Regions from separate parts of the Mus musculus genome. Here all the other regions are reported to be linked to region 5. The links are microRNA targets in miRTarBase. Many come from high-throughput screens and were not tested one by one. Region 5 holds a microRNA gene; each other region holds the end of a gene's coding sequence.
The links. The annotated mature microRNA mmu-miR-9-5p reads UCUUUGGUUAUCUAGCUGUAUGA and lies in region 5 at 3,145-3,167, opposite strand. An mRNA with a match to its seed (bases 2 to 7 or 8) in the 3' UTR can be bound and repressed. Matches are read on the target gene's strand: a 7mer-m8 pairs with bases 2 to 8, a 7mer-A1 pairs with bases 2 to 7 and ends in A, and an 8mer does both.

Region 1: miRTarBase lists Scn3b as a target of mmu-miR-9-5p. The part of its 3' UTR that is shown has no 7-base or 8-base seed match.
Region 2: the mRNA of Smyd1 is a reported target of mmu-miR-9-5p. The part of its 3' UTR that is shown has no 7-base or 8-base seed match.
Region 3: miRTarBase lists Rasd2 as a target of mmu-miR-9-5p. Seed matches in the 3' UTR shown: 7mer-m8 at 1,925-1,931.
Region 4: miRTarBase lists Rad9b as a target of mmu-miR-9-5p. Seed matches in the 3' UTR shown: 7mer-A1 at 2,793-2,799.
Region 6: the mRNA of Abcf1 is a reported target of mmu-miR-9-5p. Seed matches in the 3' UTR shown: 8mer at 4,162-4,169.

Annotation. Positions count from the first base shown.
Region 1 is chr9:40,287,756-40,292,828 of GRCm38, reverse strand. It overlaps Scn3b (sodium channel, voltage-gated, type III, beta), which reads right to left. Exons shown (of 7, transcript NM_001083917.1): 6 at 4,376-4,455; 7 at 1,211-4,285. The coding sequence ends at 4,392. Among named protein-coding and RNA genes, the nearest start is that of Scn3b, 21 kb to the right of the region's middle.
Region 2 is chr6:71,211,419-71,216,491 of GRCm38, reverse strand. Smyd1 (SET and MYND domain containing 1) reads left to right here. Exons shown (of 10, transcript NM_001160127.1): 10 at 583-2,552. The coding sequence ends at 741. Among named protein-coding and RNA genes, the nearest start is that of Fabp1, 14 kb to the right of the region's middle.
Region 3 is chr8:75,221,530-75,226,602 of GRCm38, forward strand. It overlaps Rasd2 (RASD family, member 2), which reads left to right. Exons shown (of 3, transcript NM_029182.1): 3 at 190-2,584. The coding sequence ends at 719. Among named protein-coding and RNA genes, the nearest start is that of Rasd2, 10 kb to the left of the region's middle.
Region 4 is chr5:122,321,052-122,326,124 of GRCm38, forward strand. Rad9b (RAD9 checkpoint clamp component B) reads right to left here. Exons shown (of 13, transcript NM_001382853.1): 11 at 4,830-4,928; 12 at 4,300-4,413; 13 at 2,172-3,173. The coding sequence ends at 4,345. It overlaps Pptc7 (PTC7 protein phosphatase homolog), which reads left to right. Exons shown (of 6, transcript NM_177242.4): 6 at 1-3,230. Among named protein-coding and RNA genes, the nearest start is that of Rad9b, 31 kb to the right of the region's middle.
Region 5 is chr3:88,213,707-88,218,779 of GRCm38, reverse strand. Mir9-1 (microRNA 9-1) reads right to left here and starts at 3,182; the gene lies at 3,094-3,182. The region is part of intron 2 of Gm3764 (predicted gene 3764); the gene reads right to left. It overlaps Mir3093 (microRNA 3093), which reads right to left and starts at 3,609; the gene lies at 3,523-3,609. Gm25641 (predicted gene, 25641) reads left to right here and starts at 3,110; the gene lies at 3,110-3,167.
Region 6 is chr17:35,952,767-35,957,839 of GRCm38, forward strand. It overlaps Abcf1 (ATP-binding cassette, sub-family F (GCN20), member 1), which reads right to left. Exons shown (of 23, transcript NM_013854.1): 22 at 4,913-4,985; 23 at 4,053-4,823. The coding sequence ends at 4,657. It also overlaps the pseudogene Gm8801. Among named protein-coding and RNA genes, the nearest start is that of Mir877, 5.5 kb to the right of the region's middle.

The DNA.
Region 1 (5,073 bases), not on the chromosome of region 5:
GAAGAGTTGTTTACTAAAGCACAAACAACTTCTTAGTGGCTACATCACTGAAGAAAATGCCTCTCCCCAGTAGGTCCTCAGACAAGAGTAGGGCCTCATGAGCTCCTACCACATCCATGGTGGACTGAAAGGCGCAGTCTTGTTCAGGTCTGAAACAGCTTCTGTGCCGTTGTGATCAATGGCCAGACAGCATTTCATGGCACACCTCCACGTCTTCCTGCTCCTATGGTCTTCCTATTCCTTCTTTGATGTTTCAAGAGTCTTAGAGAGGGAGGACTTTATCTGTCATGCACACAATAATTCCTCCTGTCATCTCAGTGTTTATGGAGAAAGTCTTTGATAAAGAAATGCGTGTATATTTCTTAAAGTGGTAGCCGCAGTTGTGCTACAATAGTTCTTAATAGTTCTAATCTTTAAATATTTTAAACAGATTTTAAATTATGTGTGTATATGGTCGTGTCTGTGTGCCTGTGAGTATAGGTGCCTTCACTGGCCAAAAAAAAGGATATCAGATCTACTGGAGCTGGAGTTACAGGTGGTTGGGAGCCATGTGACATGGGTACGGGGAACTAAACTGGGGTCTTCTGGAAGTGCCACAAGCACCGTTAACCACCATCTTTCAAGCCAGATTTTTAATCTTAGTTAACATTAAGCTGGTGGAGATGGGTGTGATGGTGCATATCTTTAAGCCCAGCACTTGAGAGGCAAGTAGATCTCTGAGTTCAAGGCTAGCCTGGCATACAGAGTAAGTTCCAGGACTGCCAGGTTACACAGAGAAACCCTTATCTCGATCCTTCCCCCAAATACACAACAATTGTGAAGGACAAAAACCTCATTGTCTCTTGTTACTATTTTTCCCTTTAGAGGATCTTGGCCCTTTTTGGAAGCTAGATACTGGAAAACAGCTTTGCCCTTATTCTCCCTAAAGTGAAAGTCACCTGAGCCTTCCCTACATTAGATCTTTCCTAATCTCCCCACCTGGTTAGACAAGAGAGCATTTCTTCGTGTTCTTTTGTGTTTGTGTAGAGGAGAAAAGGAAGAACCGAAAGGCTGGATCCCTCATCTAGCACGTTTAGCTTTAGACTTTTGAATACTTTTTATTCTCCACTGTTAGTTTCCTGGGTCCGGGAAGTTGGAAAGATTGCATGCTGGATGGGAGCCAGAGGGGACAGCAGCCGCAGGTTGTAAAGCATAGCAAACCCAGAGCAAGTGGTCTTCAGAGACGCTTTATTGACATGAACAGAGAGACTTTATTGGAACCATGTGCTTGTGCACTAGTGTACACACACACATGTGCGCGCACACACACACATGCTTGCACACTTTTACAGACCTAAAACCAAGGGGTCTAACTAGAGCCTAACCTAGTGCTCGACACAGAGAGTGTTGAACAATGTGAGTAGATGATCAGAATGATGCGTAGGCACACCAAGGTCCTGGTTACATACATTTGCATTGACTGAGTGAATTCACAGAACCAGGGCTTTCTCATTTATAAAACAAGTGAGAGGAAGGTCTCTGTCTCTCTCTCTGTCTCTCTCTGTCTCTGTGTGTGTGTGTGTGTGTGTGTGTGCACGCACATGTATACATACACAGACACAAGCGTGTGCATCTTTATGTAAGTATGCTTATGGGCCTTAACTTGTGTGCATGTATATGTGGAGGCCAGAAGTCAACCTTGGGTGTCATTCCTCAGGCACTATCCACCTTGTTGGTTTTTTGGTTTTGTTTTTGGAGACAGGGTCTCTCACTCTCCTGGAGCTTGCCAAGTAAGTAAGTTTGGCCTGGTGACCTGGTTAGCGAGTCTCAGATCTTCCTGTCTCTGCCTCCCCAGGTCTGGGATGACCAATGTGTGCCATAATGTATGTCTGGCTGTTCACATGGATTCTAGAGATCATACGGAGACTCTCCCGCTGGCGTGGCAAGCACTTTACCTATTGGGCTATCACCTTAGCCCTTTCCACTTTTAAGCCCACTGCTATCTTTCTCAGCATAATCTTGCTCTGAAAACTTCCCTTTCTACTTGCAATTCTATTTTGATGTCTAGAGCAAACCCAGAAACTCAAAAGAAAGCATGGGTGTGCAGTTAATTGAGAGTGGAGGAACCAAAGAATAATGTGTAAACAAATTGAAAGGAAAGCCTGAGATAGCAAGCACTGAGTATTTCCACTTAGGGACTGGGGCTTGATCCAACACCTAGCTGACACTCCAAGTCAACAGGGCAAGATGCTTTCAGGCCCAACCGAGTAACCAAGTTCACAGCTGTTAGACAGTAATAAAGGGGAAATTAGACTCAGCTTAGTTTGACCTTCAGTAAATTATTGAGAATCAGTCACAGCAAATACCCAGCACCAAGACAAACAGTGGGGTTTCTAGAGGATTATAGCCCTTGAGAACTCTTCTAAGCCCTTTAGTAAGCAGTAGCACACCAGGAAAGGCTCCAGAGCTGCGCACGTCTAGTCTGGGATTCAAAGTAGAAGGATGGGAAGAAGATGGAGATGGTGAAGATTTTAAGTTGGCTGGTGAGTGCCATACCTTGTAGGTCATAGTCATGATCTCCCATAAGCAAATGCAATTGTGTTTCTGGATAAACCCCCATGTACAAACAAACCAGATAAAAAAGAGTGGGATGGGAGTCCCAAGGCGGATGTCTGGCATCCACAAAGAAGGAAACGGTGTGGGTGAAAAGGGAGTTTGCCATACAAAGCCCGATGGGGGTGGAGAAGGGTCTTTCTTATAGAGCTCCTCAGAGTGAGGACAACTCTCTTACTGAGTCTCACTTGCATCTTTTTATATACCATAAGGCCTCCTGCCCTTGCTATCTGTAGGGGCTAAAGAATATTGCACTTAGAACAGTCATTAAAAAAGAGATATTGACTAAGAATCTTGTCACTTGTTCCCTGCTCTCTTGGGTGGGGATGAGGGTAGGGGTGGGGGACTTTACAAACACCAATACCCAAACATGACATCTACAGGTGAGGTATTTAGAAGCTACACACCTATCTTTGTCTCTTTGTTCATTGTCCATTTCAGACTAAAAACATTTTTTGCCATATAGCTATTGCCCTCAGGTGCCATGTCTCTTGGAGGATGCTTCAGATTCACAAATCTTTGTGTGAAATCCTAAAGTCTGTCTCATGTCACCTGTAGCCTCTGCTGGACAAATGCCATGCTTCTGCCCTGCTGATTGTTAAGAGTCCTCAAAAACATCTTTCAGCTTAGGGAGTGTAAGAGTGGAGGCATGAAACTCATCTCTCGGCCAGTTTAATCCCCTCAATATCCTGTTCAGCCTTGTGTGAGTCTCAGATGCCTCCTGTAAAACGAGGACTAATACTGATCCACAGACACTGAGAAATGAAGAAGTGAGGCATTTCAACCCAGAAAATTCACTCATCCGTGTTTCCAATCTCGGGAGTGTTATATCGCTTTCAAAACCTACTGAAATCGTCCTGGATGCTTCCTTGGCTTCTTGGAAGTTCTGGGTTTGTTCCAGGCCTTTGGGATTATGGAGACATAGCCTCGAAACACTGAGCTCCAGAATGTATTCCAGTGCACACAGAAGATGTCTCTGGAAAGTTTAGGGGCGGGCATGCTGCTCTCTTGTGTTCTAAGAGGCAGGAAAAGAATGACTTCAATGAATCAAAGTGAATGCCACACTTTGGCTTTTAAACAAACTAATCAGGGCTTCCTTCCAATATACATTCATCCTTTTGCTGCAGTGAAGGACAACCCAATTGCAGACAGGACACAGAGACTACTACTCTCCAGTACTTATCTAAAGTCATTTGGAGCACAGGGGACAACTCTAGTTGAGTTGGGAGCTACTTGATTGGAAGCAAGGATAGAGTGAGGTTTAGTCCATGGAGAGATGTTGGCTCTTCAGTTCAGGCAAGGTCAAGATGTATAGGAGTTCTGATAGAGTCCGGAAGTCAGGTAAAAATCTCACAGTTGGGTGGGTGGTTGGTGAATAGAAAGATGGATGTGTTGGGACACCTGGGGCACTTCCTGATGTTGCTGGCATTGCTGAACTGGGGATAGCCAGTTGCTCAGCACTCAGCTCACCCACCAACAATAGAAGAACTCATTGAGAATGTCCAGGGCAACCCTCTCCAAACACATACGGAGGAAACAGGGAACGAGAGAATTATTGTGCCTTTGCTATCATGAGCAAGGGGTTTGGTTTGCTCAATATTCAGGCCAAAGTGATTCAGCTTCTGAAGGGTTTGATATAATAGAGAGCATTGTGATGTGACCATTAACGTAGAGTACCCGAAGGACGAGATTGCTACAAAAGGACCAAATTGAAAGTCACTTCCATTGTAGATGCCAAATGCCACCCACATCCACCTTACCCTCCCAAATGCCTGTACATCACCTCAAGTCACACCACTTTATTCCTCCACGGGTACCACAGAGTTCTCCTTGTTCTCTGAAGGGATAGCAAGGTAGTCAGACCTGCAGAGGGCATGGGAGAGGGAAAGAAGCGGTGCCTTAGTAGTCATTGGTGAGTGTGTAGGAAAGGCATGTGACCCAGGAACAAGGCTCTGTATAGAAAGCCTCTGTATTTCCCAAGACAAACGTACAATTAGCTTCAGCAAATAGAGTAATATCCCCAGCAGCAATATCTGACTCTTTTCATCATCTTCAGGATGAAGACTGTATTTTGACTAAGCTGAATGGGTATGAATTTGTATTTCAAAGTTGCTTTAATTTTCATCTTCCCTTACTGGTGAGGTTAAGAACATCTCCATAGGTTTGTAAGCTGTCTCGTTTTCTCCTTCTATAGTCTCATGATTTGTTTTCTTGTTGCTTTTCTGAAATGTTTGATTTTTTTATTATTTCATATTTGGAATATTTGTCCAAATCTGTTGCTAATAAGTTTTCCTATAGCTTCTTATCAAGAACAATTGATGGTTTACATATAATGTAGTGAAAATTAACTTTTTTCCATCTTTGATTTGTACTTCTGGTATTTAAGAATTTTTTTCTATAAAACATGATGCTTTAAATATGAATTCTTATTAAACTACAAGAAGATAATTTTCTCTATTTTACACATAATATTTTTCCTAC
Region 2 (5,073 bases), not on the chromosome of region 5:
AGATGGCTAATTTTATATCTAGTATATTAATCTTGTCAATTATATATATAATATTGTCAAATCTTGGCAGGATCTCTTGTCAGTCTTACCATAGTGTCCTGAGTCTCTGAGCATCTAGCTCCCTCTGAATATTCCCTGAGTGGATATGTGGGAGAACAAGAACTTAGTTGCGTCTTGTTCCCGATAATCTTTCCAACCTGCTGTAAAGTACAGAGAAATCTTACTGTCTTTGGAATGGTGAAACAGGGGGCTGAAGTGATCAAGGCGCTTCGCTGAGGTCCTACAACCACAGAGTTCAGGATCCAGGGTTCAGATCCAGGTTCTCAGCTGATAGTGAGAGGAAGCATTTTCTACTGAAAACAACCATTTGGCTACTGTCTCATGGGTCCAACTTCCTCTCTCTATGATGCTAGGCATACTGCTACACCATCAATTCACAATATTGTAAACCCCCCGCCGCCCCCCGTTTTTGAAGGGATAGAGTTAAATAATACTGACCAGGGGTCATTTATCCAAAGATGTGTCAGAACTGTGTCTTGAGGACTTGTTATTATCGGTGCTGTGTCTATCTATGTCCCACAGGCCATGCGGATGCAGACAGAGATGGAGCTGCGTATGTTCCGCCAAAACGAATTCATGTATCACAAGATGCGAGAGGCTGCCCTGAACAACCAGCCCATGCAGGTCATGGCTGAGCCTAGCAATGAACCAGCCCCCGCTCTGTTCCATAAGAAGCAGTGAGGACCTTGTTGGAGGGTGGGGGGGCTGTGGCTGGGGAGCTGAGGAAATGACTACTCTGTGTCCTCCACTGTCGTTTTGGTTCAATTCAATTCAGTTTAGTTCTCTTTCATTTCAGACCAACTCTTCCTACATGTGTCAGGTGCTAGATCCCACCATCTATTTAATAAGGGAGCCCCAAATATAATTGTGCTAGAAAGAAAAATGTAAACAAACAAGGCACAGCATAATAGTAAATGCCATGGTGAGCTCTATGCAGAGGGGTTTGTTTAGGGGAGGTGAGTTTGTGTGTGTATCGGGTGGGGGTAACACCTGAGCTAAGAGTGGCAGGTACCTAGAATCCCAGGTGACTGCTTGTGTATCTGTGTAGGCATCTCTGGGGCTGCTGGTCTCATCTACAGTTATGAATATTTAGGTTTTGCAGACTGGGGTGGGTGATGTCCTGAATCCTCAGGCCAAAAGTGTTTGACCCTTTGAGATATACTCAGTGATGCCTAGAAAGATGCAGGGATCTTGGGATCCTGTGGTCTTTACTCCTAATCAGAGCTTGAAGCATAACTTTAAAATAACTCTAGAACACACATAGAAGGAATTTTTCCCTCCCTGGTCCTACCCACCATGCCTGTAGCTCTTTATGATGTTGAAGAAAAGCTGAGTTTTTCCTGGCCATTGACTTGTAAAGCTGACTGTGCATGCCTGCCAGTGATGGACCCATCAGAAGTGGTGTGTAGGGGCTTCCAAGACTGAGAAGTCTGCCTCAGCCTAGGCTTCATCATTGGCCCAATGAGGCTCTACTCATTGTATTGAGTGACTGTTAGTTCCTCTGCTTAATTTCTTTATCCTGTCTGTGCTCTGGGGGCTTCTCCCCTTTCGTAAGGCAGTTCACCTGGCCTGGATCTCATTGGAGAGTGGCCAGTTTGCTCTCATTTACTTGGAGGCTGACTTCCAGCTGAGAAATGAAGGCCCAAGAAGTGTCTTTTAGTTTCTGGAACCCCAACTTTCACACCAACATGATGGGAAATCATGAAGTAAATTCTTTTGGTTGAGGGTGTCACCAAAACTTCTACGAAACCTTGTGCTACCACTGACATCTCCCAGAACTCTAACATCTTGAAGTCACATGATTCCCACTAAACTGCAATTTATTTCTGCCTAAAATGTTAGTTTCTCCATCCCCAGCCTTTCATCCCAGAACAGTACCCTACCTGCCCTTGAGCCCTGCCCAGCCTCTGAGGCCTATGATGCGGGCACCTCTTTGTAGAATATTAGCACTGACCCTTGGTTCTTTTTGAGGATTTGTTCTTCTCTAGAAGGCTTTATGAAGACTGACAGTGAAGACCATGCTCAGTATAAACTTACAATGGGGGGGGGGGGGGGATGACAGAGTGGATCCTTAAAATGTTAAAGGAGTTGTGGCTTAACTGGAGACTACTCACAAACCCTGAGAGCCACAGTAAACAAGCCTAAGAGTTCCACGCACCCCCCTCACCATCTGCATCCACCCCATTTTGGTGAACCAGAGCACTAATCAGACATCTGTCATTGCCTGGTGACTCTATTAGGGACTGCCTCTTTAAAGATCTGAGGAAGAGAACTATGGTGAGGCCTTGACCATGGCCAGAAGGATTTTCCTACAAAGCACTTTATTTGCAGAGTGTAAATTCATCATTAAGTACCTGCCGTCTCCTGGTCAAGTTCAAACTCCAAAGTTAAAAGATTCACAGCAGATGCTCTGTTCTCTCTCTGTGTCCTCTCGTGTATGCCCATTTTCACTTTACCTGCTTGCAAAATAAATTCCCTTGGATGCTCTCGGACCTCCTGTGATTCTTTTCTGATGTAGAACACTAGAAAATTGTGGATTCTTAGCGTGTATGTAAAAACTGATCCAGGACCAGTGAGATGGTTCAGTGTGGGTGAGTGTGCTTGCTACTAAGTCTGACAACCTGAGTTCAACCCCAGATCCTGTGGAGTGGGAGGAGAGAACATATGCCTGCAAGTTGTCCTGGCCTCCACAAGTGCACATGGAACCTGAACATCCCCTTCCCCAAGTACATAATTAACATGTAAAATAAACAGATAAATATCAAATGACTAAAAGACAAAGTACCCAGAAGGCCCACCTGCAGCCACCATGCCATGCAGTGTGGGTTGGGGAGGAAACCCAGAGGCCTGCCTGCCCACAGTGGGAGCCACTACGATGTGTGCAAGTATGTGGTAGACAGTATACTCACACACATACAATAAATACGTCTTACCCAAAAAAGGGTCAGGGAGGAGAGAGTTGTAAGTTTCACGTCGTGCACCCCAATCCCACTCATTTTCCAGTCCCTTCCTATCCGCCCTCCACCTTACAACCTTCCCCTAAAAGAAAACAAAAGACAGGAATAAAATAAAATAATAAAAATATAAAACAAAACAAAAGCATCTCATTATGGAAGCTGTAGTGTGTCACAGTGTGTCCCACAATTTATCCTTTTGTCCACACATTTTTACTTGGAAATTTTCATTGCAGGATCTCCATAATTCAGGGCAGCACCAGGATATCTGAGAGGAGTGCTGGTGAGGATGCAGGGTTGATGGGAGCCAGAGGCCTGGAACCAGACCGATGACTCACTGCAATGAACATCTGAGTACACTGTACTGTCTTCAGACACACCAGAAGAGGGCATCAGATCTCATTACAGATGGTTGTGAGCCACCATGTGGTTGCTGGGAATTGAACTCAGGACCTCTAGAAGAGTAGTCAGTGCTCTCAACTGCTGAGCCATCTCTCCAGCCTTCCTTTACACTTTCAAATCACCTTCTTTACCCTATTGCTGTCAATTATGGAAAAAGAACAGAAAAAAAAAAAAAGATCAAAAACAAGGAGAAAAAACGGTAACAGCTATTTTGTGGACATACTTAAGAATGTGCATTAGCCAGGAAAGTGGTCTCATAGGATGAGTGCCCCTGTTGGGAAAATGTCCATGGCCTACGTAAAAGGCTGTGGAATTAGTATGTGTGTGCGCTCACATGCTGCTTGGTGTGTGTGTTTGCAGGTGTGTTGGGGGTGGCCACTGAAGATAGGATGGACCAAGGGAAAATCTCAGAGCCCATCAACAGCTGTTTGTTAAGGCACTAAGTTCTCTGGGCACCTACACAAAATCCAAGTTCAGCATCTCCCAGGGCAAAAGCTCCTCACCCCAGAGCTACTCTCAGTGCACGATCCTGGTAGGAAACATTTTGGGAAATGTTTGGTTTTGTTTTTTGGTTTTGTTTTGTTTTTTTTTTTTGTTTGTTTGTTTTTTGTTTTTTGTTTGTTTTGTTTTTTTGAGACAGGGTTTCTCTGTGTAGCCCTGGCTGTCCTGGAATTTGCTCTGTAGACCAGGCTGGCCTTGGCCTCAGAGATCTGCCTGTCTCGGCCTTCATAATGCTGGGATTACAGGCAAGTTCCACCACTGTTTGGCTCATTCTGGGGAAATTCTATCTGATCCCTAGAAATTTTGCTGAAAAGCCTTCGAATTATTTCCCCTCGCGTCAAAGTCAGAGAGCTTGGTTGTCAGCTTGACAAAGCGAATCTCTTCCCCTGCATGACACTCAGCTTGGTTGCTTTGGTGATAACAGTTTCTGTCAATGCTCCAAATATCACACCCTTCCAGTCCTGCTCTGTTGCTGTGCCAAACACCACGACAAAAGGAAGGAAAGGGTTTGCTTCAGCTTACAGCGTCTAAGTAGCTGTCAATCACTGAAGGAAGTCCGGGCAGGGACTCAAGGCTGGACCCTGGAAGCAGGAACTGAAGCAGAGGTTCTGGAGGAAACACTGCTTGCTCTCTCTGGCTTGTGCTCAGCCTGCTTTCTTATACAACACAGACTCTCCTGCCTAGGGATTGTGCTACCCACTGTGGGCTGTGCACTTCCAATCATCAGCCAACACAGTTCCCCACAGATGGGCATCCGGTCCAATCCATGGAGACAGTTCTTCAGTTAAGGTTTCTTCTTCCTAAGTCACTAAAAGTTTGTGTCAAGATGATAACAAAACCAGTTATACACACCCTTTCGGCCACCTGACACATACACACCCTCAGGAATTCCAGAAAAGCATTTGCTTTGCAAATCATTTCATGGCTCCTTTCAAATGACACAAGACAAGAAATTGCACTATGCCCCAGTACAGGGGAACAACAGGGCCAAGAAGTGGGAGTGGGTGGGTAGGGGATCAGGGTGGGGGGAGGGGATAGGGGAATTTCAGGGTAGCATTTGAAATGTAAATGAAGAAAATACCTAATAAAAAATGGAAAAAGTTAAAAAAAATAACTTCAAGTCTGAAAGTAAAGTGGTGAACATCGTTCAATATTG
Region 3 (5,073 bases), not on the chromosome of region 5:
CCTCACTACTCACAACCCCTGCTGAACCCTGGCTCCCTCTTTTGGGAAGTGGGGACAGTGATAGCAGATGCCTGGAGGAGCCTCCGGGTCAGGGTTTGCAGGCTTCCTAGGTGGCAGCTGATGGGACCTGTGCTGAGTGGGACACCAGGCCATCCTGGCCCTTGTTTACTTGCCTCATCCCCTTCACAGGAGATGTCTTCATCCTGGTGTTCAGCCTGGATAGCCGGGAGTCCTTTGATGAGGTCAAGCGCCTCCAGAAACAGATCCTGGAGGTCAAGTCCTGCCTGAAGAATAAAACCAAGGAGGCAGCAGAGCTGCCCATGGTGATCTGTGGGAACAAGAATGACCACAGTGAGCTGTGCCGCCAGGTCCCTGCCATGGAGGCTGAGCTGCTGGTGTCTGGTGATGAAAACTGCGCCTACTTCGAGGTGTCAGCCAAGAAGAACACTAATGTGAATGAGATGTTCTATGTGCTGTTCAGCATGGCCAAGCTGCCCCATGAGATGAGCCCTGCACTGCACCATAAGATCTCCGTGCAGTACGGCGATGCTTTTCACCCCCGGCCCTTCTGCATGCGTCGCACTAAGGTCGCAGGTGCCTATGGCATGGTCTCACCCTTTGCCCGACGCCCCAGTGTCAACAGTGACCTCAAGTACATCAAGGCCAAGGTCCTACGGGAGGGCCAGGCCCGAGAGAGGGACAAGTGTAGCATCCAGTGAGAGGCAGGGACATCGGGGAGGGGGCTTGGGCAGTGCCTTAAGGGAGGTGGCTGAGGATTCCCACTGCGCACATCCCACAGAGGGCCCTAGGTGTGTACCCTGTGCCCATTCTCTTGTTTCCTGGACACCTCCTGTGAGCCGTGAGTGTGGTTCCTTTGTGGGAGGACGGAGACATGTCTAGGGACATGACAGCACTCATGCCGAGACAAGCTTTCCGTGGGAGGGATGCAAAAAGGCCAGGAGTCCTGCATCAAAGCAAGATGCTCAGTACAAGTCACAGGATGAGAACATCTTAGCCAGATGCCCCAGCCAGGTTCCCTGGTGGCCTCTGCTCCCTCTGTTCAGACCAGCTTGGTCTCAGTGTCCCTGGAGAAACCACCATCCTGGGTCTTCAGCTCCTGCCGTCTGGCCCAGCTGTGTACACTGCCCCCCAATTTAGCCCCTGGGGCCATCATGACCTTGAGTGGAGGGGGGAGAGAGAAAGGGAGAGAGAGAGAGAGAGAGAGAGAGAGAGAGAGAGAGAGAGAGAGAGAGAGAGAGAGAGAGAGAGAGAGAGAGAGAGAGACCGGTGTCCCCCAGATCACTGCCTTTTGGCTCCACTCCCAGGCTCCTCCATACGATATTTCTCTTTGTTTTGAAGTGTCTTTCCTGTTCTGTTTGCAGTAGACATGAAGTCCTTGTACTGTAAGAGGCCAATGCTTTGTCTTTGACCGGGCTTCCCAATTCAAATCCATTGCTTTGGCCGGGGTCTCCCTCCCTGCTCCCAGGCAGGCTGTGTTCTGCCCAGTGTCCATCGGCCTACAAAGAGCCCACAGTGCCACAGTCACAGCAGTAATCTCCTGCCCTCTGGAGAGGATGACTGAGCTTTGAGAGAGTGATTCTAACCCCCTCCGCACTCCTAACTAGTTCAGGACAGAGCTCTGACTAGATGCAGCTTTCTTCTGCTTTAGTTCCTTAAACATCTGCCAAGCACCTACCTGATACTGGTCCCTTGTGTGCTAGGCAACAGAGAGCGAGGGGTCCTGTGTGTCCCCAGCTCCGGCCTCTGCCCTCCCATGGTGCCCTTTCTGCGCACACAGCTGTTGGAGGAAGTGGAGCAGTTGAGAGCCAGAGCCGAGTCCAGGAAAGGTTGGAAGGACATATTGCAGGACTTACCCTAGTGTTCAGGCTATGCTAGGTACACAGGAGTGGGGGTGACCCTGAAAACCAAAGGTCCTGTTCACCACCTCTTAATGCATCTGTGCTTTAGTCTTATTAGTACTGCAGCTGGCCCATTTGAGATGACTCTGGGTAAAGACACCTGCTGCCAAGCTTTCAACCTGAGTTTGGTCCCGGGGTTCCATGTGGTGGAAGGAGAGAAGTCATCCATTGACCTCCACACATCCATCATGGTACCCCTAGCGCGCCCCCCCCCCCCCATGAATTATTGAAGCTGATGATTATCAGAAACCACAGCAATCTAATAGTGCATTCTCTCAAGGCCCAGGTCACTCCCTGCAAGCTGGGTCGGCCATGGGCCTTCCATACACACCACGTCATACCCTGTCTCCTTGGAGCTCCCAGTAGCCGGGATTTGGATCATGTTACATATGCCTTCCTCAGAGCAATCACTGAGGCTATCTGTGGATACTGTGCACATTGTCACCCTTGCTCTGCACACCAGGCCCAGCCCAGACTCCATACACACACCTGCTGCTCAGCACAATTGCTTCAGCACCTGCTTCTGTCCTACAATGACTCCAGCCCCAGTCCTGAGTATACCAGGTACTTGTCCAGGCAAGTCTATGGCCTGGTCCATCCGGTCAAGCTCTACTGCCTGGACCTCTGTGTACACTATCAATTAAAGTTGGTTTGTTAGCTGTGCCTTTGATGCTTACTTCCTGTATTTCCCTGGGAGGGGCCTCTGTCTGGGTCAAGACCTCCTTGCATACAACAGTTGTTTTTGAGTTCAAAATTTGGAGGATGAAACCCAAATAAGGAGATTGTGCCTGGCCTGCCAGAGTGTGTGCCCTGAGTGGTTATTAGCAGCACTGTCTGCAATGATCATTGATTATCAAGACTGGCCGAGGAGTCAGATACTGTGACATGTGTCTGTTGTCCAGTTGTGGCAGGAGGATTGCTACAGTGACCAGCCTGGTAATATGAGTCTGCTTTCTTTACATAATGGAAAAGATGGGATTGCTCCACATCTCTACTGGGAGGGGCCAGAGATGTTGCTCACACTTTTCAAGACACAGGACGGAAAATCCATAGGGATGGTAGGCGGTGCCATCTAGAAGGCCAGCTTGGGGCAGGACCAGCATCTGTGAATGTGTGACAACAGGCAGCTTTCTGAATGGCAAGAACAGTCAATCTTTCCAAGTTGAGAAGGGATGGAATGTGGTTGGGGACAGCACCTGGAGGCAGGGATGCTGGACGCATCATGAATGACCCCATAAATGATGCTTAATGTGCCTGGGTGCCTCTCTGGGCAAAGAGAAAGGCAGGAGGCTGCTGCTAACCCACCTCAAGCACCCTCCTGTCCATTTCCATGATACACCGTTGTGGCCCATGTTTTCTCAACTGGCACAGAACTCAACTGCTTGTCCAAGAGGCATAACTGACATGTGAATGGTGTTCTGGGACCGTGGTGTGTCTGGGAGAAAGGTTTTCATCCTGGCAGGTGGCTTTGAGCACAGCAGGTTGCCAGGGCCTGCAGATGGAGATCAGAGAATAAGACAAAGGACCCACAGGGCCAGGAGCCCAGCTAGGGGGCCACAATCCCTATAGGGTCACTTGCAAGCAAAGTAGGCTAGACTGTATTGGGGTGTGAAGAGCACCTTTCTACATGTCTGTTCTCTAGCACTTGGCCTCACATGGCATGGGTCTGAGTGTGGCACAAGCCTCTTGGGCACTTTCTCCATCATGTCTTTTGTAGAATGAAATATGGAAGTGATCTCTCCCTGTTGTTACAGTCACTGTCTTGGCTACATGGGAAAGTGTTCTCCCCAGTGTGTCCCCTCAGAGCTTAGCCTACTGCCACCATCGCATAGCTTCCATGCGGGACCTTGAGTAAATAACATCCCAGCAAACACCATCCACATACAGGAGGTAGGCAGGCATCTGGGTCAGATGAGCACAACACAAATCAGTGTAGCCCAGAACCTGCTAGCTCCATGCCACCTCTTCCTTCCCCTCTCCCTTGCTCCATGCTCCCTCCTTCCTCTTCTCTCTCTACTCCTCTCTGCTCCCACAGTTCTGGCACTAGAATGAGGTTAACAGGGGTGGGGTGAGGGGATGGGGGGGGAGGGGGAGATTTCCCCTGCAGACATCTCCACCTAGGACAGGGTAGAATGAGCTGTTAGGCTGCCCTTCCTGGAGAGACTGAGGCTGGCCTGAGAACCTCATGCCAATCTCCTGGCCTCTAAAATGAGCCCTGAGAGTCAAGTTTCAGAGAGGCCCATACTCTGAACATGGAGTACTTGTCTATCCTCTCTCCTTGAGCCCGTCACTCAGGAGAACATCTTCAGCCTGCGTCATGGCCTGGTGGAGGCTGATTTGAGCCTGCCAGCAGCTTAACAACAAAGGCTACTGGGAGTTGGGAAGGCAGGGATCTGACTTCTGCTGAAGGCCTGCTCTTCACTGAGCCTATGCTGGCCTCTGGCTTGTGTTCTCTCATTGGATCTTCTTGGCAAAGCATCATATAAGGAATGAACGTCTTTCTGATAGTTGAACAGATGCAGAGAGGTAGTGTTGCTTGCTTGATATTGCACAGCAAGTAACCAGGAAAACTGGGTGCATATCACCTGGTTTCAAAGCATTTTATTCTCCAGGCTTTTGTAACTGGGTGGCTGAGGGTCAGCTCTCTGGAGGGGAATTGGCAGGTGTCAGCAGAGAGAGGTGATCCACCCCACCTGGCCAGGCAGAGCCCAGGCTTCTTTCATTTCTAGGTTGTTCCATGTCCAGGACCTTGTCATCATTTGTAAGGCAGACACCACATTGAGCTTCCGCTAGAGGGTCAGGGAAGAGAGTAGAGGAGTCGTATTCCTGCATGCCACAAGTGTCCACTGGCTCTGGCTGGAAAGTTCTTTGCCAAAAGCCCCAAACCTCTGATGACATTCATTGTGGATAAGGAAAGAGCCGTAGGTGGCCTGCCATTGCCCAGTGCTATAGACCCAGACCCAGACCCAGGACACTGTATACTGTACATGGTCTGAGTCCCAACAAGACCTACTCAGCTCCACAATCAGACAGTAGACCCTGTTCCCTATGGCTTCTTGGTACATATGTGGGAATGTATGCCACAGCCCATGAGTGTAGGGTCAGAGAACAAAACACCTTTTTGTTTTTGTTTTTTAAACAACTGTTTTTAAGG
Region 4 (5,073 bases), not on the chromosome of region 5:
GCTAGCCCGTACCCACTGGTGACCCACTGAGAGAAAAAGCGAGGTGACCTCTCCCTTCTCCTGGAGGTTTTCAAAGTCTTTTACTTTTCAAAAGCAGTTGAAGTTTTGAAAAGAAGTAATGTTGGTAAAGTGAACTCAAAATGTCAGTGTGTTAAAGGGATGTTAACATTCAACAAGTAGTAAATAGCGGCACCTCGGCCAAAAAACACGCGGATCATCCCAGGAGAAGCCCTGTGTCCCCCAGGCGCAGGCTCTGCGAGGACTGCTGGGGCTTTGTGTTTTCTGTTTGCCAGGAGCCCACAGTCCTGCTCTATCCTGTGCTGGGTCATGACATCCCAACCCCAGCAGCGGACGGTTTTGGTCACAAATTGGAAGAAAATTTTTGTTCTATGGATGCAGATATTTTGTGCTTTTTAAAAGATGCTTAATTGTGCCCCTGTGACTGCAGCTGTGGCAGTCTGTTGATTTGTCCAGGTCACAGGCTAGAGGCCTGGCCCACAGGAGAGGGACAGGGGAAGGAGACTCCTTACCAAAATCTAGTAATGGAAATACCACGCAAAATTTCAGAACTCCTCAAAGCCTGGGAATCAAATGCTGTAGCTGAAGTCGTCCGTGCTGCCTGTAAGATGCCACGGGCCTTCCAGGGCTAGAGTGTGCAGCTGCAGCTTGGGATGGGGTTGGCTGTGGACAGCCTGCTCCTTCCCTCAGGAGCCTCCCACCCTTAGAGCATGCCCCACCTGCGCTGTGTCCTCAAGGTGATGGTGTGGTGGCTGCAGCTCCCAGAGCCCACAGGAAAGCTAGTGGTGACCTGACATTCACAGTGACCGCAGCTGAGTGTGGGGCCCTGAGTCCAGCTTAATGTTTACAGTTCCAATAGCCATTTGCAGTAGGTAACGTTCCTTCTCAGATTTCCCCATTACCTGCGAGCGCAAACTTATTTTTAAGGTTTATGTACAATTGACTGCTGTAAAGATATATATATATTTTTGGGTCCGTTCTTTTCCTTCATTAACTTGGTGGTAGAAAAGCCGTATATACTTAGAAACCCTTAAGTTAAAGCCGTGTTTCTGTGCAAGTCAGATGACGCTGGTGTGAAGATGGTGTGAGCAGCCGTGCAGCCCTTCCTCTGCAGGAGACACTGGCTCCCTGGTTACTGCATTGAACTTGTGTTTGAGGTTACCTCAACTTGTTTTTAAAAGGTTTTGTCTGTCTGTGCGTTTGTATATTTGAGTAGCTGTCTCTGTTTTATTTAAACTGTTTACCATGTACCATGTACATGTCAGTGCTCTCAGTGCATCATGCTTGTAACAGGCATTCATTCATGAGAATGAGTTACTCATTTGTAAGCTCTTCAGTAATTTATCTACTATTCCTAAATTGGCATAATGTTAGATTCCTATTTTGAATCACCTTTAATTACATGTCAGAATGCCTTAACTCCCCTAACCTGACAACACTGAGTTAGTTCTCTGGTATGGAGGGAGACTGGATAAGGAGATGTCGCACTCTGTTGATCCTGGGGCGTGAGGGGCACGTGGTGGGTATTTATTTTGCACAAACTCTTTGCAGTGTCTGTGTTTAAAACAGTAAGGTTGCATCCAGATGGGGTGTGTGACTCTAGGACTGAGGACTTCAGCTCTTCTGTGTGGTTTGTAATTAGTTCTTGGTCAGAGGTGTTGTAGCCTTACAATCTGGATATATTTTGCATTAATTTTCCAATGCCGACATTTAATTCCTGCTAAGAGCAGAGCTGGTCAAGTCACTGGCTTTTTTCTGCTCTCATTTAGCCCATCAACCAATGTTTGTAAAAGTAGATTGGTGTGTTTTATACAACTTACTTTTAGTCAACTCACTTTTCTGAGCAGTGATTGTAAGAAACAGACAGGCAGTATGGCTGTTCTAGTAAACTGAAAACCACGAGGCAGACGTCAGGATTCAGTGACAGTTCCTCAGGCCTGGCGTGTGGACTGGTGACATCGTATATTCCATTTGCTTCTCCCTGTCCTTTTTGTTACACACTTAATTTTATAACTGTCGAGAGGTCAGGCAGAGCAAACGCTGCTCACACTCACTGAGGCCAGGGGCTCCATCACACACCCCTCGCCAGGTCTGATCTGGAACCTGGTGTGCGCGTGAGTTGTATTTTAAATCAAGCAATGTAAGCACTCATATTTGTCTCACAGAGTGAACTTTTATAACAAAAGAGAAAATTTGGGTTTTAATTTACAAATGGCAAATTATTTATCCCTCTGGATGCACCAAAGACCAGTAAAGTTTATAGCTTTTCCATCTATATTTATAAAGCAATACTGTATTATAAAAAAATCACTATTTTTATCACATGCTTGAAATTTTTATTTTGTTCTGTTTTAAAAATGTGCACTCTAAACATATCAGAACCTTATTTCTTCCTATGAACTTAAGCTGCCTGCGCACAAAAAGTATAAAATTATCAAGTGGAGATGAAGTAGCTAGAGTCTTACAAACAGAGAGAAGTGAGGGGAACAAGTCATGTATCCCGAGTTATCTGTGTGCTTGGCTACTCACTCACAGAGAATTCATTCCAGGTATGTGTCTGGGTTGGGCTGGGTCTGGAGAGACTGGGTATAAGCTCCAAGGCAGGAGAGTGCCCTCCACCGCTGCCGCTGCCGCTGCCTTTGTTCTGGATAGAGTAGCCAGCAGATGGAAACAGGGCAGGAGTGGTTTGGAGGCGGCTGGCGGGATTGGCGAGATTGGCTGAAGCTGTGCGTGTCTGAGTAGGTTCATGGCTCTGTGTCACTGTACAGCAGCTCTCTTTGGCAAAGTTGTAACACTCACTTTCTTGGAAATTGTCACAGTTTTACATTTAAAAAAATTTGCAATAGCAAAAAAAAAAAAAAAAAAAAAAAGAAAAGAAAAACATAAAACAACATAATATGAAACAGAAGACATTTGGATTCTATTTCTTTCAAAAAAGTAAATTTATCACAAAATTGAACTTCTCAATAAAGCAGTGTCCATGTCAAAACATAACTGTTAGTAGGTAGTCTGTGGCAACGATGAGTAAATGACGAAGCAAGTCTGAGTCTGTGTGTACTGATGCGCTGCCTTTTCTGTTGAGACTATCATCGTGCGTCCTACCAGAGGCAATGACCCGAATCGATGTTGGAAATATAACTTATGCAGGAATAGTTCTGTAAATACATTTAAATAAACTGTAAAGATATTTAATAAATATAGTATTTATACTATTTGCCACTCCTTTGGTTTGAATGGACAGGAACTGAGACACCCACCCTCAGCTCCCAGATTCTTGGTCTGCCTGACAGTGAGCCAGCACCTCGGAGCTGTGTCTGTGGTGCTTTACTGTCTGAGCATGGACCGGAATGGCTAGTTATCAACAGCTACTTACCTTCCTCAGAAATTCACCAAAACCGACTGACAATTGAGTGTAAAATAGAGGGTTTTGTAGCTGGGGTGTTGTGCCTTCCAGACAGTACTGAGTGAAGAAGCTACCAAAAACACTGCTGGGGGGGAGGAGGTCGGTAGCAGAGCACTATGCTAGGATGTGCAAGGCCCCGGATTCCATCCCAGCACCACACACGCACACCTTGTGCTCCACTGGAAGTGCAAAGCTCTGGGTGCAGCTAGTGTCGTAGTGTCACTGTCTTGGGCAGACTGGTGCTGCAGCCAGGCTGCTGCTGATCTAGGTGCTTGGGAGCTGCATCAGTGTGTGAGCCCAGGCCTTGTCCTCGGCAGGGAGACCTACAGAGTAGCTCTGCAGCCATCTGTGCCCGGTAAGACTGTCTGAAATCCAGTTATCAGTGTAAACATGAGACTCCTAAATCTTCAGCCTACGACAGAGGACAAGGCTGAGATAGGTGGGCATTGCCAGCTTCCACTAAAAGCTTCTTGAAAGCCCATTTTCATTCACAGAGGAACATTTTCGGATGGAGTTGGGTTTTTATTAGATTCCCGTGGGTAGCTGTGACTCACTTAGCAGCTACAGAACCCAGTCCCTCTGGTTTCAGCTAGAACGCTGCTCTCACTTCTGAAGCCGCTGACGCACGTGGGCAGCACTGAGTCCTGCCGGGTTGATGCTTCCTTCCAGGTTGGTGCTTTTCCAAGGACTCAGCAAGCACACGTTCCTGAGCGGCTCCTTTTGTTGCCTGTAACCGACTGTACACAGGTTTGGTGAGAGCGTCCTACACCGTGAGCTGTTACGTAAGTGCATTTGGTGCCAGGTTTGCACGTAATCTACACGTAAGCAGCTAGACCTGAGAGGAGCAGTGGGCAGGCATTTGTCCCCCGCCACCTTACCTTGTTCCTCTCCAGGCTGAGCTCTGGCTGCTGTGTGCAGATGACTCACACCGACTTCACTGCATGCTTTCTGCCTCCCACTGCAGAGCGCACAGGAACCAGAGCAGCTGAGGGCTGGGAAATAAAATTGTATCATATATAAAATGACCACAAAATGAAAAGTTAACTGTTTCTTTATTCACAACCTTTTCTCTACTCTGAACAAAACCTGTCAGGCCATCACATACACTGGAATGCCTGCTGTCTGCAGTCGGGCACAGAAGCCCCACCTCGCCCCATGCTGAGGAAAGTCTGCTTTAGGGACCAGCACAGGACGTGTCAAGGCTGCAGCAGAGTAAACAGTGGCATCTAAGCCCTGATGGCTCATTCCTATGCTGCCAGCTCTGTCCCCCGAGTAGCACACGGATTTTAGTGACACTGATAGTCTGGGGCATCCTGGGACAGTCTGCTCCATTTCCACTTGGCCTTCAGGCAGCCAAGTGCCCAGCGCGGCTATCACTGAGCGTTAGCATGGGTGCTCAGCCACTCACGTCCTCCTCACTGTCGCTTGCTACTGCCAGGCTGTCCAAGGGGTGGCCGGCATACTCTTGCTGTTCACAAGATACAGCTCCAAAGAACATGCAGGAAAACTAGAAAGGAAAACAAAAGAGTGTCGCTTATTCTCAAGACAAAGCCTGCACACTGAAGGTTCCAGCTGGTGGTGCTTTTAAGAATGTGGCCATGTGTTGCCACTGTCTTTGATGGTGATGAATCCTGGACACCATTACCTGCTGA
Region 5 (5,073 bases):
TATTTGTAAGAAAGTTGCCTTCAGCTGCGTATACTGAGAGCCCTGCAAAAGGACATAGGGCAAGGGCTTGAAAAACGTGGGTCACAGAAACAGCTGAGGGGCTGGAAAGATGCTCAGTGGTTAAGAACACTGGCTGTACTGATCCAGTTTTCAATTCTCAACATCTACAAACATCCGTGACCCCAGTTCTAGGGCGATCCAGCATCCTCTTCTTGCCTTGGAGGGCATTACTATATGGTGCATAGACATATGCAGGCAAAACACACCCGCAGAGACAGACATCTTTGAAACCAGATGTGAAATTGGTTTCCAGTAAGTCTGGTGTGTGTAGCAGACTGAAGAATAGAAATGGCAGTTTTTAAACAAAGGAGACTTCTCAAGTGGACAAAACATGAACTCAGACCAAAGGAGCTCTCCTACACAGTTTAGCTGGGTAGGGAGGGTGCTATATGATATAAAGAGGGGAAGTTCAGCACTTGGGAGGCTGAAGCAGGAGAATTGTCATCAGTTCCACGGAAGCCTGGGCAACACTTTCTAAAAAAAAAAAAGGAGAGATCCATGGAGATATCTCTGGATAAAGGTCTTTGCCACCAAACCTGACATTTGATTTCCATCTCCTGAACCCACAGGGTTAAAGGAGTGAACAGGCTCTCTCATAATTTGTCCTCTGACTTACAAATATATAACCACAGACACAAAATAAATAATTAAAACAAAGGAGAGGAGGGGGAGGAGGACGGGGAGGAGGAGGAGGAGGAGGAGGAGGAGGAGGAGGAGGAGGAGGAGGAGACTTTGGTATCACTGTGATGTCTGCATTTAATAAACCCCAGCTCTTTTCTGTGGTTTTGCCTGGCCACATTCTAGCATCCCCAGTGTCCCAGCTGAGTTTCCTAGCACAGCACACATCCTTATACCAATCCACACAGGCTGCCTCCCTCTCTTCACCCTTAGGCACATGGACTTCACAAAGGGCACCTGCTGCCCTGCTGAGTACCGTACACATACACAGTCAGTGTGCATCTAAAGAAGACATGAACCCTTAGCAGCCTAACCTCCTAGCCTCTATTCCTCCTTTTCCTAAAGCCTTCTACTCTCTTTTGAAGAGCCTGTGATCCAATGTGCTCATGGGAAACAATAATATAAAACTACTGTGGTTAGCAACTGAGACTCTAAGTGTTCCTGGGAATATGTGGTGTGTGTGTGTGTGTGTGTGTGTGTGTGTGTGTGTGTGTGTGTGTGTGTTTAGGGGGACTCTAGGATGCCCAAGAACTTGCTGTGTAGACAAGGATGACTTTGAATTCTTGATCCTTCGTCCTCTACTTTGCAACTGCTCAGATTATAGGCCTGTGCTATGATAGAGGGCTGTGTAGCCCTGGCTGTCCTGGAATTTACAGTGAAGACACTATACAGGAAACATTAAAGATGGTAATGATAAGGAAGCTTATTTTATTGATGCCCCTCCTCTGCCCATGCAAATTCCCAATAACAGAGAGGCTTCCCTTCTTTCTACTTTCCCAGTTGGCTCCCTTGGGGTGGGGAGTGTCACTTTCTCCAAGACAGAGTAAATGGAAGGAGCTTTGAGTGTCAAGCCAGTGAGTAATGTCAGCTGCTCACTTGTGCCTGTGTAACATGGGATCACATGGCATCTCTCAAGCAGCGGAAAAAGAAAACAGGCTGTGGCCAGACCATTAGTTCCAGCCTAGACCCAGCCTCTTTTCTCCTTGACTTAAGCTTCATCCCCACCACCCCTACCAAAACAAAACAAATTCCAAGCTTCTGGAATTTAAGAGGCCACTCGACTCTCCCTCCCCTAACTGCTAAAGAAGACACACACAGGCAATAGATTCCCTGAAGTCCCAGAATTTGAATTTGGATTCTCTAATATTTCCCCCCATGTAATACAAAATTGAATCATTATCTTCTAACTGTAAAATCAGGTCCCGGGAGGAAATTTTAAATTTATAAGAACCAGCGGAGTCTGGGTGATGACATTTTGCCCAGTTTTCTGCCTCTTATTAGTCGGTACAGCCCAGGTCTCCAAGTGCCAGCTGGTCAAGTTCGGCTGAGGGCCATGAGAGCAGAGGGGATTCCTAGCTCTGGCCATGTTTGTTAGACCATCTTCTCAGCTGTAGAAACCCTCTTTCACTAAAATATTTAGGTCAGGCAAGATAAATAGATTCTTTTTACAGGAGCCCAAATTAATCTCTCTAATTCTTTGCGTTCTCTGGGCAGCACAGCTACACATTCCTTTGTGTTTGAGCTCCACAGAGCTCCTTGAGGCCATTTGTTCCTTTGGGACACGATTTCCAAGAGTGAGGTTAGGACCGAAAGGTGGGATGCTCTAAAGCCCCCCACCCCAACTCTACACCTTTAGCCACTAATGACAAAGCAGCCAGAGAGAGTTCAGTTAGACTTAGCTCTGGTCCTGAAGGCCAAAGTGAAAGCAAAGAACCTGCGCCCCAGGGTCCCAGAATTCCTGTGGGGTAAAAAGGTCTCTGGCCACTCTGGCCCTTGCCCTTGTGGTTACTTTGTTTCTGCATCGCCATTCTCCCTAATAAGTTCGATGTGTGTGTTGGTTTTTAAGCCTTCCCCGCTCCTAGACCTGTTCCCACCTGGGCAATCTTGACTCCCAGTAAAGCTGAAGGGCTTCAGGGAAACCACCAAAGCAAAAACCAGCTTTCTAGAGACATCCTACGAACCTCGAACTCCACCAGTCGCTTCGAAGAGCCAGAGGGAAGCTGCTCACACCAGCCACCCGCTCCCGGGATGCGTCGAGACCGGGAGAGGGATGCTTGCACTTTCCCCCCAACCCTTCAGCCAAGGGCTCTGTCTCTCCCGGGAGCGGCTTCTCCGGACTGAGGCCCAGACTGCTCCATTTTGACCAGGCCTCCAGAGGCGACCCCAGAGCGGCTTCTTGCTTTCTTCCCAGGTGAGCAGGTTGCGGGTGGGGATCGCGAGGTGGCTCGGGCTGAGCAACCTTTGAAGGCGACGAGTCCCCCTCCCCCCAGCCCTCCAGCCTCCAGGCACGCCTGGCACGGCTCTCCCTCCTGCAGCTCGGCCACTACCAGCGTTCCAGGCCCTCTGCGCAGTGTATGGGGTTATTTTTACTTTCGGTTATCTAGCTTTATGAAGACTCCACACCACTCATACAGCTAGATAACCAAAGATAACAACCAACCCCGCCTCCTGGCCGCCTCCTCCTCTTCCACGCAGCCTCCCGGCCACCGCCTGGACCTCCGTAGTCTCGAGTCGCTCGACGGCGGATGGGGGACGCGCGTGGTGTGGAGGCGAAAAGATGGGATCCAGGACCTCACGCACTATCACGACGAGACCTCAGAAAGGCGAGGAAAAGATGCTACCGCCGACGGTTCTGAGGTCGGGAATCTAGGCTGAAACCAAGCGGCCCCAAGCCTGACCGCCCATTTCCCACTCCCTCCTCCGTGCAGAAGCAGGGTTCCGCCGGTGCTAGTGGAAAGGCTCCAGGGCCTTCGTGCCATCCGGGAAGACCGCAGAAGCCTAGGCCGAGGCCTCCCCAACCTCCCACGGTGTCCACACCCTTCTCTGGAAGGTCGAGTGTGAGCTCCGCGGGGTGCGGCAGAGCCGAGCTCGCAGAGCTGCTCCGAGCTACCGACTGCAGGGGAGCGGCCGCGAAGCCCCGGACGGGAACCCCAGCACTGGGGAACCCCGAGGCCCAGAGGGAAGCCTGTGGCTGGCGGCGGGGTGGAGGGTGATCTAGAGACTCCCCAGCGACTCTCCCAAGGGCAAAGACCCCACCCAGAGAGAATCGGGCGAGCAGTCAGGACGTGGGGCTGCGGGTTAGGGCAAAGGGTGACCAGGCAGGTGCTCCGAGCCCTGGACCTACGGAACCGCGCGGGAGCCGGTTTTGTGCAAAACGCAGCCGAAATCATTCAGAGATGTGAAATATGCCACTGGGGGTCTGAGTGAGAGATGCCCTTAGTGGCTGGAGGGGGCTATCTGGACTGAACCCACTGGAAGGAGGTCCAGGGACCGTGCAGAGGGTGTAGAGCTCCGTGGTCGCAGGTGGCGGACGCGCGCGCTGGACTCTGAGGCGCTTTCCCCACCTCGTGCCCCACGCGGGTCAGGCCACTTACATCAAACCCAGGATGCCCAGTGGTAGTGTCCTGCGCGGTCTTCAGGCGCGTTCCTACCCAGGCAGCGCCACGGACGTGGGTCAAGGATGCCGGGGCTTGCCAGGTAATGGGGCCGAGCGAGAGCCAGCAGGGTGGAGCAGGGTCTCGAGTCCCAGCTCTCTCCTCAGCCTTGGCCGCTGCTCTGGCGGGGGCGCTCTCAGGCTCCGGACTTTTCATTCATCCCTTCACACTCCTTCCTCAGGTCAGCCCCTGATTGGCTATACCTGGTCTGACGTCACTGTCTCGTTTCTTCCCCCCCTCCCCCCCAGCCTTTCCATGCCCGACCCCCTCCCTCCCCAGGCCAGTCCAAGACGTGCAATTGGGGTGCCCCTCCCCCAGAGAATGGGATCCAATGTCTTTATGCCAATCCTTAGTCTTTTGCTGCCTCATCTACAACCCGCCTGCCACGTCTATAATCCATTGCCAATTGCGGTTCTGATGGCCACCTTCGCTCTTCTTGTCGATCTTACATTTTCCTTTTGGGCTCTACGGTACATTGCACCAAGACCAGCACGCAAAAATAGAAAATAAATAGGGCAAAATTCCCTCAAAGAGAAGAGATCTGTAATCTCAGCACCAGGAGGTTGAGGCAGGGATGCGGACTGGAGACTCTATCTCTGACCCCCTCCCACCTCACCCCACCGTTAGAGTCTTTTTGAGTTCTAATTCCTCCCAAACTGTGATCCTAATATTTAGGAGAGGCAAGGGTCTCTTTTGTTCAAGGTTTTCAACTCAAACCCTCACTGAAGGGAAGACTGTGCAGTTTGAGTCTCCTGCTATGAGACAATGGGCGAGCAAAGGGGGCCCTCTTTTCTGCATTTCAGGGGAATGTTCCTTGACCCTATCTGCAGATAACCACAGAATCCTAGCTGCTTTTGAGACTCAGAATTTGGCCAAGTCCTGGAGACCTTTAATAGGTCTT
Region 6 (5,073 bases), not on the chromosome of region 5:
GCTCAAGCTGGCTGAAGCTGAGTTCTGGAACCACCCCCACTTGTGCCCCACATGGGCCAGTCACTGTTGAGTCCTTTCTCAAGAAAGACTGCAACTGTTACTTCCCAGGTCATTGTGGGTCTGCTAGGTTCAGTGATGGCATGTTCACATCTGTATCCAAGGAAGTTGTTATCTGGCAGAGGGGCATCCTGTAGTGTTGGGCCACTCCTGCCTACAGCGGTATTAGAGACTCCGTGAGACCAGCTTTCATTAACTTTAGCCGGGTACAGCGGGCCTGAAGCACTACATGCACTGCCTTTGGGAGTGGGCCTGCTCCTTCCTTACCCCATGAGGAGCCCTGTCTGAGGCTTCCTGGGCAGACTCAGCAGTAGGGGCCCTTCCCAGTCGTCTCCTCCCCTTGTCTTGGCATCAGTTGTTTTCTATGAAAACAGTGGGTTGGTTTTGTGAAGGGTCTTGGGTTAGAACCACAATGGATTCGAGGAGTTTTTCTTTTGGTTTTGTATATTTTGTACATTAATAATAAACAGTGGAAAGAGAAGCAGCTCATTTAACCCCTGGTGTGTTTCACTTCTTTTAGTAAAAGAAAAGCTAGGGCTGTAGAGCCTGCTTGGTGGCTCTGCTGGTTGGAGCAGTTGCAGAGGCCTGGGGTTCAATTCCCAGACCTCAAGTGAGAACTCCAGTTCTCAGGACGTTGTGTGCTGGCTACTTTTATGTTACTTTGACACAAGTTAGAGTCACCAGAGAGAGAGGGAAGCCTCAGTTGAGACAATGCCTCTATGAGATCATCTGTAGGGCATTGTCTAAACCAGGGATTGCCAGCCCATTGGTGGTGCCATCCCTGGGCTGGCAGACCTGGTTTCTACCATACACATAAAATCTAAATCTCTTCCACTCAGAATAAAAATGTTAGGGTGTGGGAGTGGTACTCCTCTCTAATCCCCACACATAGGAGGCAGAGTTCTTTGCACGCCACTATCAACAAACCTCAACAACCAACCAACCAACAACTCGCACATCAGGGTACTCCCACTTATATGCCCTCTGTAACGTTTCCAGATCTCCAATTGTCACACAATCAAAAAAACTATCTACAGCTGTCAAAATTGTGCGCCTGCCCATTAGAGGAGGCAAACCCTAGTCAGCTGCTATGAAGCAGCCCCATATCCCTACACCTGTTATTAAAGCAGAAAACTATATATATAATTTATTTTGTATACAGCGTTCTTCCTGTAGGCCAGAAGAGTGAACCAGATTTCATTATAGATGGTTGTGAGTCACCATGTGGTTCTGAGAATTGAACTCAGGACCTTGGGAAGAGCAGGGAGTGCTCTTTAACTTTGAGCCATCTCTCCAGCCTTATTTGGTTTTTTGAGACAGGGTTTCTCTTTGTAGCCCTGGCTGTCCTGGAACTCACTTTGTAGACTAGGCTGGCCTGGAACTCAGAAATCTACCTGCCTCTGCCTCCCAAGTGCTGGGATTAAAGGCGTGCGCCACCACGACGGGCCCTATGTTTTTAATGAAACCAAAACTCCAAAATAACCTGTCACTACACATTAGAACAATGACTAAGACAAAATATTTTTATCTATGTGTATCCTTGTGGAGTTCTGTGCTCGAGGGCTGGTATCCTTGGATCCCCTGAAGCTGGAGCTACAGGCAAGTTTGAGCACCCAACATAGGCGCTGAGAACGCAGATCTTCAGGAAGAGCAGAAAGGACTCTACCACTGTGCTATCCCTTCAGCTCATAAAATTTTGATTTTCAAAAATGTGTAGAACGGGCTGGAGAGATGGTTCAGTGGGTAAGAGCACTGACTGCTCTTCTGAAGCTCCTGAGTTCAAATCCCAGCAATGCATGGTGGCTCACAATCATCTGTAATGAGATCTGATGCCCTCTTCTGGAGTGTCTGAAGACAGCTACAGTGTTATTATATATAAATCTTTCAAAAAAATATATATATTAAAAAACGTGTATGAATGTGACTGTGTACACGCATGTCCTCTCACCCCCTTTGTGTCTGTTTTGTCAGGTGGTGGTGGTACACACGCATTTAATCCCAGCACGAAGAAGGCAGGGCAGGTGGATCTCTGGGGCTGAGGCCAGCCTGAGCGAGTTCCAGGATAAGCAGGGACACACAGAAAAACTGTCTGGGGAAAAAAAAGATGTGCTTTATGTTTAAGAGTGTGTGTGTGTCCGCGTGTATGAAAGTGTACCCCTGGAACTGTACTTACAGACAGCTATGAGCTGGACCTGGAACCACTTGTGAGAACCACCTTCGAGTGCTGCAATGGGCCTACATGATCAAGGCTGGCTAGGCGTAATCAACCGAGCCTAGCCTGGTCTACAGAATGCCTACTTTGCAAAATCAAAATCCCCATGGTGCTCATTTATAGGAAATATTTAGTTGTCTGCAGGTGTTTAAAATTCTGTTTGTAAAGCTGAGTCGGGGCAGGGCCTCTGCACCCAGGCAGATAGATCTGTGAGCTGAAGACCAAACTTGAAGTCCCAGGGTAGCCAGGCTCCCTTAGACTATCTCAACTTTAAAATGAACTTATGGGGCTGGTGAGATGGTTCAGTGGGTAAGAGCACCGGACTGCTCTTCCGAAGGTCTGGAGTTCAAATCCCAGCAACCACATAGTAGCTCACAACCATCTGTAATGAGATCTGACTCCCTCTTCTGTAGTGTCTGAAGATAGCTACAATATACTTAGATATAATAAATGAATCTTTAAAAAAATAAAATGAACTTATGAATCAAAGGTATGACTCTTAATGAAATTACATTTTTTTCCAGACTCTGGGTGAACCATACTCTAGCTTTTTCTCTTCTGTGTTCCATTCTTGTTTTTCTTTTTGAGGGACAAGTTCCCATCTGTGTTTGAACATGTAACTCTACATACACAGTGTGTTCACTGGGGGAAACTGGTGGAGAACGGCAAGTGTTTAGCAAGTTCCAAGCTAGTTGGGCTTCGTTAGACTGTCCACACCCACCCTTCACATCCAAGTTTGCTTGTTTTTTAAGACAGGGTTTCTCTGAGCAGCCTTAGCTGTTTTGGAACTCAATGTGTAGGCTGGGCTGGTTTTGAACTCAGAGATTTGCCTGCTTCTGCCTTCAGAGTGCTGACACTAAACCACCAGGCTTCACAGGCATGCTCTTGTTATCCACCAATTAACACTGCATAATTTCTGCATTCTCATCACAAGGGTGTGCAAACGTCAAGTGTACAATGTTGAACATTGGTTTGCCCATCCACCTGGTGAGGGCTCCATGGTGGTCAGTTGTCATATCCCTTCAGAGAGGGGCACACTCAACAGCCTGCTCACTGTACCCTACTTTTGATACGAATCTGCTTCAAAGTCCATGTTATTTACTTTGGCTGGAAAATAATTTTTCCTAACTGAATCTATATTCACCTTGGAAATGACATACTATTCTTTTTCTCAATAAGTCATACCTAACAGTTTCTGTCTGTCCCATCTTGCCCTTGTCTCCTTTGGTTCTATCACCTCAGTTCTGTAACAGAGCCACCATGCTGTCCCCTTCTGTAACAAAGCCCGCCATGCTGTCCCCTTCTGTAACAAAGCCCACCATGCTGTCCCCTTCAGGACCCCACTGTAACTAGGGGCTTTAGGTGACATCTACAGTAGAAACTTCTCTCTGGTCCCATCTTCATGCTTTTTCTCTGTGAGGGATGATTTCCACCCAGTGTCTGAGTGGATGAGTTGACTCTGCCAGCTGTGTAGTGATCTACTCTATGTATATCTCTGGTACCAGATCTATGGAAGGGCTCTATTTTCTAAAGGCTTGCCTCAAACTCACTAGAGCCATTAAAACCCTCTCTACACCTCCAGGGTGTGAGTTATAGGTGTAACTCTATCCCAGCATGCTCTGTAGATCTTACATCAGCAGACTGGGTTCCCGAGCAAAGGGTGGAGTGCCATTTCATTCACAGGGTTGGTCTGGTGTCTTTCCCAACCATGAGGGCACAGGGAGGACAAGCACTGGCTGGGGAGGGACACAAAAAGCCCAGGAAGCACCCCACAGGCACATGGTGTCAGCACCCCACTACTTTATTTCCTCCCCTGTAAAGGAGACTTCAGTTCTAGAGTTCTCCTTTCCTGCCCTCAAGTCCCCACGAGACAAGGGACCACAGGCACCAGATCTTTGGTGAAACAGTCCAGGTCTCAGACACTTGCCTCCAGCCCTGAGGTTCTGGCTGTTTGTGTCAGTGAGTCAGTAGTACCCTTCCAAAAGGAGGGACCAGGGTCAGTTCTGAGTGGCAAAGGTCTTGAGACAAGAGGCCACCTTAACTAGGCCTGAGGGGAACCCAGCACAGCAAAGGTCACCTCTTTCTGAAGAGACTGAGCCAGTGTGGGCAAGCCAGCTCAGTTACCTCAAGGGGAACACAGTCCTTCATTGAGAAGGACACAATCCACACGGATGGATGCTCTCACACACATCAAGGCAACACGCCACCTTCATGGCCTATGTGGCTGCTGCAGCTGGCAGCAGCCATGGCAGGCTTCTAGGTGGATGAGGGGAGACGGCCTAGACTCCAGCCGTAGGAGCTGGTTGCAGCAGGCTTCTAGGTGGATGAGGGGAGACGGCCTAGACTCCAGCCATAGGAGCTGGTTGCAGCAGCTTCCAGGAGGGAGCTCAATCCCGAGGACGGTTGACCATGACCTCACCCAGGGCCTCCAACACCTCTCGCTTGTAGTCATCAAAGTCGCCGTCGATCTGACTGACACCCTGCTCCTCCACCACCCACAACTGGCAGTTGGTTTCTGTGATGAGGCGCGCATCGTGGCTGACAACGATCACAGCTTTGGAGGAAGAACAAATCAAGAGAGGGAGTCAGGAGTGGAAGAGGAAGAGGCCCAGCAGCTCCAGCTGCCTCTGTCTGAGCACTTACCCCCCTTGTAGTCGTTGATGGCCTCCCCCAGGGCATCGATGGACTCTATGTCCAAGTTATTGGTTGGTTCATCCTGTGGAGAAGGAAGAGGCCTATGGCAGAGCACTGCAGCAGCTGCATTTCCAGCTCTGACCCGAAAACCCTTCTCTGATTGCCCACTC